2 linked regions of the Daphnia pulex genome follow. Each later gene encodes a partner of the first gene's protein in a complex. Links are inferred from orthologs where the notes say so. Each region holds a gene or a part of one and is shown on either strand. Other genes may lie near its edges.

The links.
Region 2: the proteins of apoptosis-inducing factor 1, mitochondrial-like (region 1) and mitochondrial intermembrane space import and assembly protein 40-B-like are in contact, whole or in part, in a cryo-EM structure (PDB 9GQZ), measured with the Homo sapiens proteins. The link is inferred for Daphnia pulex from reciprocal best matches to the Homo sapiens genes AIFM1 and CHCHD4. Residues at the interface, in NP_004199.1 of Homo sapiens: Pro345, Tyr347, Ser500, Ser501, Leu502, Pro503, Thr504, Val505, Gly506, Val507, Phe508, Ala509, Lys510, Glu558, Asp559, Tyr560, Asn602, Ala605, Lys606, Phe608, Asn609, Ile610, His611; in NP_001091972.1 of Homo sapiens: Arg5, Glu7, Lys9, Asp10, Arg11, Ile12, Ile13, Phe14, Val15, Thr16, Lys17, His20, Thr22, Pro23.

Annotation. Positions count from the first base shown.
Region 1 is NC_060023.1:11,493,490-11,497,897, forward strand, and holds the start of apoptosis-inducing factor 1, mitochondrial-like, read left to right. Parts: upstream 1-1,301; 5' UTR 1,302-1,413; coding exon 1,414-1,495; intron 1,496-1,579; exon of another isoform or gene 1,580-1,605; coding exon 1,606-1,790; intron 1,791-1,851; coding exon 1,852-2,266; intron 2,267-2,752; coding exon 2,753-2,886; intron 2,887-2,953; coding exon 2,954-3,084; intron 3,085-3,146; coding exon 3,147-3,322; intron 3,323-3,502; coding exon 3,503-3,688; intron 3,689-3,858; coding exon 3,859-4,055; intron 4,056-4,119; coding exon 4,120-4,260; intron 4,261-4,408. UniProt on the Homo sapiens protein: Functions both as NADH oxidoreductase and as regulator of apoptosis.
Region 2 is NC_060023.1:8,613,380-8,616,926, forward strand, and holds mitochondrial intermembrane space import and assembly protein 40-B-like, read right to left. Parts: upstream 2,170-3,547; 5' UTR 2,008-2,169; coding exon 1,986-2,007; intron 1,283-1,985; coding exon 1,087-1,282; intron 1,023-1,086; coding exon 827-1,022; 3' UTR 742-826; downstream 1-741. Other genes in the region: uncharacterized protein LOC124197866, read left to right, coding at 1-93, 149-269, 341-445.

The sequences.
Region 1 (4,408 bases):
GATTTTGTATTGAAAATGAATAGCGTCAAATTAAATTTGTTTGACTTTTATTACACCATTATTGGTCAGCTTAAATTTACTGCTGTGTAATCATGGTGATGGGTTGGTGCCATCATTCAAGAGTAATTGTTCCGGTTTGAGTCGCATGACCGTGACGAAGGTACGCACCAAATTTGATTACCCTAAAAAGGCAATCCCACAGACCACTGATCTTTTAGAACCGCCGACAAAACCTGTTATTAGCGACCCTGTACCTTTGAAAAATTGTGAGTCGCAATTTGTGACGAATGATTAAGTCGTCACAAAAAATGACGTTCAAACGGACACAAAGCCAGCGAGGTGAGTTTTCCACAGGCAGATGACTAATATTTCTATTTTGTTCGCCATAGAAATCAAACCGAATAAAAAAAGGTACATTAATAACGCTGCTAGACAGGAGTGCTGCATGTTAAGTAGAAGAAGAATTGAGCTAAACAGCACACGCAGGAGTGCAACAAATATTTAAAATATGTACGCACCTGACTGGACATTTCTAGGTTTAAAATGCTAAGTTTGTTCATCAGTGCGTGGTGATTTTTCTTGTTAGAAAAATGAATAAGGAAATTCGCCGTAAATAATTCCTTTATCCCGCTCTTTATATAGCGTACAGTTACCTTGACTTTGAATGTAGGGTTCACTGCGGTCGCTGTATAGAGACATTTCTTGCCTGTATAAATAAACAACAGATTTCAAAAGGATGCGAGGTAAAACCCGTATTAAAGGACCAAAGATCTATCGGGAAGGAAGAAAAAAGTGCGTCGTTCATTATTTGCGTGCGACAGGGAGAAACGGAGCTAAACAAATTTGACGACAATGGCCGGCAACAACTTATTAAGTTTCAAGATCATTTAGCCAAAAGGATATTTAAATTTCCTGGTCTTGGAAGGGGACGTTTATTTTCTTTGAACATTATTGGGCGACTATCCATTAAACCACAAACGAATGCTCTCGTTGCGTAGCCTGAGGGACGAATGACATTTGCAACAGAAAACAATTAATTGGCAAAAGTTAAAATAGCCTAGTAAAGTAGTAATCCTTTTTTAAACTTAACGAATTCAGAAATATTTGTTTGAATCATAGTGCAAATAATCGCCACAGGTGGCGTAAAGCTTGTTCTTTCTTTAAAGCAAATAATGAGAAAAACTTTTTTTCTATCTGGTTAACATTTTAAAAAATTTTTAATCATTAAATTATCGCTCTTTTTCATATTCTTATTCATTATTTATCACAAAAGAAGTGTGTTTCGAAATTGGCAACGTTCTCTGATCACGTGCTCCAGAGTCCTTTCTCCTCCTCCTTTTTCTCCATCTTGGCCATTTTCGAGGACGTGACCGGTCTCAATCTCGAAATTTTCGTTTACAAATCGGCTCGAAAATGTACAGATGCCGGCAATTGGTTTCTCAATGCTCAACCACCATTAAGTCAAATCTTGGTCATGGCAGACAACGATTTGTCGGTAAGATATAATTTCATTCATTTATGTGTAGTTTATATGAATTGCCAGTTTCAAGAAACTATAGCAACGTGTCTGTAAGTTTAGGAACTGATACGATGTGTATTAATTAGGCGAAAGTACAACTAAGAGATTCGGCTCAGATCATGGCTACAACCCGCCAGCAATTAAACCGGCCACGTTGAACGAAATGCCTACACCTAAGGGTTCTTGGGCTTCAGAACATTCCCGAGTACAAGCAAAGTACAACATGCACTTGGCTGCAGGTTTGGGTTTCACGGCTTTCACAGTTTTTGTGGTAAATTAAATATTTATGTAAAATGTTACAGCATCGCTAACAGCATTTTCTACACACACAGGGATACCAAACAGGTTCATTCTACCTTAACCTTGGCCCCGAATTGAATACCAAAGTCAATGTATTGAGTCACGAACAGGTTCGCAAGCAGGCAGCAGAAGCTGCAGCAGCCGCTGCTACAATTGTAGAAGAGCCTATTTCTGAACCAGAAGTTGTTGCTTCAGTGGAAATTGTTGAAGAGGTTGTTCCAGTTGCAGTTGTGGAAGAAGCTGCTCCAGTTGCAGTTGTGGAAGAAGCTGCTCCAGTTGCAATTGTAGAAGAGGTTGTTCCAGTTGCAGTTGTAGAAGAGGCTGTCCCTGTGGCTGAAGTTGCTTCCGTCATCGTTGAAGAAGTTGCTCCAGCATCTGTACCTGAAAGTGTAGAAGCTGTCCCAGCTCCTAGTGGAAATGAATCAGGGCCCTCTGATCAATCAGAAGGTGAAGTTCAATCTGATCCTACAGTGAGTGTTGCCTTGACTGTAGAAGTTGTTGCTGAAACTGTTTCTGATGGTTCTTCATCAGTCACAGAATCACAATCATAAGTTAGTTATTAATTTAGACTCATTCGCTAGAATAGATGAATTGTATCAAAACTGCCACATCTATTCAGTCCATTAACAAAATAGTCTTATTTTGGAATATCGCCAATTTTAGCCCAGTGCCCAAAAATTTATTTTAACCTTCAGAGTTTATTGTTTGTAATTTGCCGCAACACTGGCTAAATTTCGATTCAAAGTGTAGGTTGTGAAATATTTGATGAAATGAATGGTTGGTGGAAGACTTATTGTACGTTGGCCGATTAGAAGCAATACAATTTCGAGGGAAGCTGAGTGTTTGATCAAGAAATCCCTTCTTTTAGCTGTAGAAAAATTTTCTTAATGTAGAAAAGTTCTTAATTTTATTTTTTTCCTTTTTTTTTAACAGTAGTTCCAGCTGCAGCAGCAGCCGTTGCAGTCGCCGGTGATTTTCCCGTGCACGTTCCTTATCTATTGATTGGAGCTGGTACTTCATCGTTTGCCGCTTTCCGTGCCATCAAATCACGTGACCCGAAAGCAAAGGTAAAAAAAATTTTTATTGGTTTTGTTTACATGCATAGTAAAAATATTTGTGTTGTACCCATTACAGGTTTTAGTCATCGGTGAAGAAAATCACTTGCCCTACATGAGACCACCTCTGTCGAAAGAATTGTGGTTCAGTGAAGACCCCGAAGTTTCAAATAAACTTCGATTTAAACAGTGGAACGGCAAAGAGCGAAGGTGAGCCCAATGTTAATTACAACTATGTGGAACATGTACTAATGACTTATTTTCCTTCCCAGTCTCTTTTTCGAACAAGACGAATTCTATTGCAATCCCGTCGAATTGAACAGCAAAGATAATGGCGGCGTTGCAGTTGTACGTGGACACCGCGTCGTTAAACTTGACATTGTTGGTCGGAAAGCCGAACTTGACGATGGTCGTACCATCACATACGACAAGTGCCTTATTGCCACAGGTAAACATTTTATGCTAAACGAAATTCGTCTTTAAAAGTCTCAATGATTACACCCTTATGGAATGTTGAACAATTTTGATAATTATCCTGCTAGATAGTATCTGAGAGCCTTTTTAAATTTCAGCAATTTATTTGTGTTTTTACGAATCACTCTAAAAATGGCCGTTGTTTTATTGCTAGGTGGTAAACCGAAATCTTTGCCATCCCTGAGCAGTGCCCCTAAAGATGTCCAGGAACACTTAACCTTGTTCCGCAACATCGATGACTTCCAGCGACTCGACTCCATCTCCCGCCAGGTCAAGTCCATCACCATTATCGGTGGTGGATTCCTTGGCAGTGAACTTGCCTGTGCTCTTGGCAGAAGAGGTAAATAATTGAACCATTCATAAAATCATTTTAGTCACTGTGATTATAAATTATGGAATGTTGAACGACTATGATTGTCTTCCTGCTAGATAGTATCTGAGTATTAACCTTGTTTTGAATCCATTCAAGTTGTTGGCAAATTGCATAATGGAAACATATCTTTCATTTAGCCAAAAGTAATGGATTGGAGGTGCTTCAAGTTTTCCCTGAGGACGGTAACATGGGCCGAGTCCTCCCTAAATATTTGAGCCAATGGACAACCGAGAAGGTGAAAGCGGAAGGTGTTCAGGTTATGCCCAAAGCTATTGTTGAGGGTGCAAGCTTGGAAGACAACAAGGTCGTATTGACCTTAAACGATGGTCAAAAGGTAAACATTTATTTTAATACATGTCTTAGCGATGTCAACTAAAATCTAACAATTATTTCATCAGATTAAAACTGACCATGTTGTCGTTGCTGTTGGTTTGGACGCAAACACGGATTTGGCCGTCGCTTCTGGTTTGGAAATAGATTCCAATTTTGGTGGTTATCGAGTCAATGCCGAGCTTGAAGCACGATCAAACGTCTGGGTGGTAAGAATTCTTGGAACATTTTTCATTTCATATTTTTGTAATACTTGTGATTATAACTTAATCAACATTGACTTCTCTGATGTTGTTGCTAGATAGTATATGAAGTTTTTGTTAAGTAATTTTACACCTTTGAAGGTAAAATTAGATT
Region 2 (3,547 bases), about 2.9 Mb from region 1:
GCTCGTCCCAGATGAGGATGGCAATTGCAACCAAGCTGGAGGACACTTCAACCCAACTAGCTCTGTTCACGGAGGACCAAAGTCTCGTACAAGGTATTCTTTTTGTTTCCAGGATGACACGACGTGAAATCGCCATTTTCCGCTTTAGGCACGTTGGAGATTTCGGGAACGTGGAAGCTATTGAAAACCAAGGTATTAACGCGATGTTTACCGATTCTCTCGCGACGCTGATGACTGGACCTAATTCCATTCTACACCGAACCCTTGTGGTAACTGAAACCTAAAATGGCGTATAATTTGAATAAAAACTTAAATCTGTTGTTACCTAAAAAAAATCTAGATCAAAGAGAAGGAGGATGATTTGGGACAAAATCGTGATACAGAGAGTCTAGCCAATGGCAATACTGGCCGTCGTTTGGCTTGTTGCATCATTCGAGCTGTTTGAGGAAGATTACTGAATTAAGGTGAATTACAAATTATTTCTACCTAATGGGAAACGGAGAAATTTGAGTTCACATTCGCTACTTAATTAGTGGCCTTTAATGCTTCTTCACGCCATTGCTGATCGGCATCTTGTCTCCTTCACAGCACCTTTAGGGTCGAAATATTTCTAAAAATTTTGAGTTTAAATACAAAGTTAAATGTTTAAGCGCATTTGTTCTCAAACCGAGTTTTAATTTTTTTTTTGCAACAGAGAAGCGTTTTTTCTATCCTTCTACCCAAGGAACTCTGTAGACGACGAAGAAATGACTATGTATAGAATGCTATTACATGAGATGCAGCAAATTAAAACACAATTTGTAGCTCTAAATTCCTATAATGGACATCATGTTTTTGCTTGAGCTTCAGATTTTGAATCTTCTTTTGAGGGTTCTTTGCTCTCTTCTTTGGGCACTTCGTTTTCTTCGTCCTCCTCTCCTGATGGCTTATCATCGTTCCCATATAATGTAGGATAATTGGACATGCATTCTTGCATCGCCTTAAAGGATTCAAAGCAGTCACTGCCCTTGGGTTCAGCATCGCTATAAAAACGAAATACATCATTTAGTAGGCAAATAAAAAAGCAAACTGAAAATGTGTTATCACCTATAATGGAAGCAACTGAATGCTTCTCGGAAATCAACTCCACACGGACCAGTGGCCATTCCTCCTAAACACGGGCAGTCCCAGTTAATATCACCATTTGGCAGCATAAGACCTGCTGGCTCATCTTCATCGGGGAAGGTGAGTGTGCTAGGTTTCTGCAAATCCTCGGGAGTTAGAAAGACAATTTTGTCTTTTCCTGCAGAATAATTAAAAAAATGTTTAATGCTAATGACATTTAAGGTATAAGTGAAAAACCACAAGTTCATGACAGAGAGAGACTATCAAAGTACAGCAAATCAGACACCAGGGACTGTAGTGCAGAAAATTTTATGCCAGATATAGAAGGAGTGGATAATGCCTCAGCCACTACTTCAACACAGTAGAAATTGGGGCTCAAATGAGAGCTGCTACATTTAAGCTGTGTTTACTTGGAGAAAGTGTCAGATGATTTTTAAGCTTTACAAAAAATGTTGGTTTCATTGATGGAGATTACATAACAATTTTTCACCGTTTGAAACATTGTCTAGTGTGCATATTTTTAGTGAGAAATCCAATAAAGATCAGCAAACAAACAAGCATTTTTCAAAGGAAGCATTCTTAAATTCAATGAGATTCAGGCTTGTTCAAAATATGTATAGTTCATAGTTTTTAAGCTGAGAACAGTTAGGATTGGATCGAAGTGGGGCACTGATTTAATCAATCTGAGTTTTGATTCTCCAGTTTCTTTGCTTAATAAGTACAATTTCCAAAACTCTATCAAGATTTTAAAAAATCTAATCAACAAGAACTTTTGTATCTATACATCTACTTACAAATGTCGTTACTTTAGTGAATGGTGCGATTAGTCATTCGGTTATCTGAATTACCAGAGAGAATAAATAACAAACTTTGTAACTTACCTTCTTCTTTGCAGTAAGACATTTTTCGTTTATGGCACAAATTTAATATTCGCAATGAATATTCAAGAAAATTAAAGGAAAAAACCGGAATACCGGCGAAAACTATGATATTCTCACGTGCAGAGCTGACGGCTAAAAGCGTTAAAAGTATTTTCGTCTGAAGTCACGCGATTTGAACGCCACCTGTGGACCAGAGGCTCAACTCGTATATAAACCATGTGACATTTTGCGTCGTCATTTTCCGACGGAGCCGGTTGAATACTTGAATGAAGGTGCAGCACTGAAATGCTTATCTTGATGTTTCTTGAATGATGCAATCCAATTTATTGTGGAACGGTACAACAATTGGGAACTTTTGGACTAGACGACCGAGCTTAATTGTTTGGAACAGGAATTCTTGGGAAAAATGAGGAGAAATTTAGGAGAAAATCTCAGGGTCTAACTGTGTCAGCTAAATGATTTGTGCTAGAATGAACTGAATTTTGTTTTGTCTTTCTAGCTTTTTCGCATGTACCTTCAAAAGTCGCCAACGCATAACGCATTGAAATTGTTTATTCCGTTAAGCTTAAGCCAGCTGTCATCTGTAAGGCGTCTCTAGTCGTCTGAATTGAAGCCGTTATATTTATAACACGCAATTGATGATCTCAAACTCGACGTTAATTTTCTGTTACAACAGTATGATGCAAACGCTCTAATCTTAACAGGAAAGGAATTTTGGTTTGCCTACAATCTCTTCAACGATAGTTTCATATTTGGAGCAGGATATGGTAAAAACAAAAGGTATCTATAGATGTCAAAATGTGTTGCGTTTATAAGGACACGTGTAGGCTTGTTGATAGAAGGGAGTGTAGAAAAAGCGGTCGGGTGGGGTTTATCCCTAAAGGTGGGAGTGGGACTTCCCATCCTCTTTTTCAGCGACAAATTCATGACCATATAAGGCAACGGAAAAGCAAGAACGAACGAACGGGGCAACGTAAATTCCAAGCAGAATTCACAAATACCAGACTTCGGCCCTAGGTTAACCCAAATGATGCGATCGTATCGATCGCCGTGGTTGTACGCCAGCGCCCCTAGTGTCGGCTACAGCAACCCAATGTTTAATTAGCTTTAGGTGACTGTTGACTATGAAATCAGCCTCAAATTATCTATTAATTCATTCAAAGCGATCTAGCTTGAATAGTTACCATATAAAATATCAAGTTGACTGTTATTTTAAAAATTTGCGATTTCATGTTAGGTGGCGCTTTTAGATCGAAAGTTGGGGTGGCGTCAGTTGCAGCGTTTCGGCCTTAATTTCTCGAAGCTCCCCACGCCGTAGCGACAACGTTGCAAGATCTAAAAAGGAGAAGGAAGAGGAAGGGACAGAGAAGGGCATAAAGGGAAGGCAAGCGTCTCATCGCCACGTTATTGCTTGCGGTGCCGGCTTTGGTGTAACTTTGCTTTCTCCGGTAAAGGCCGAATTTTATTTCTTTACATTTTTTAAACATTGCTCGTTTTTAGTTTAATTTAATCGATAGAAAACGTGTGCCATTGCATCTAGTTTGTCTTTTTGTGTTCGTAGA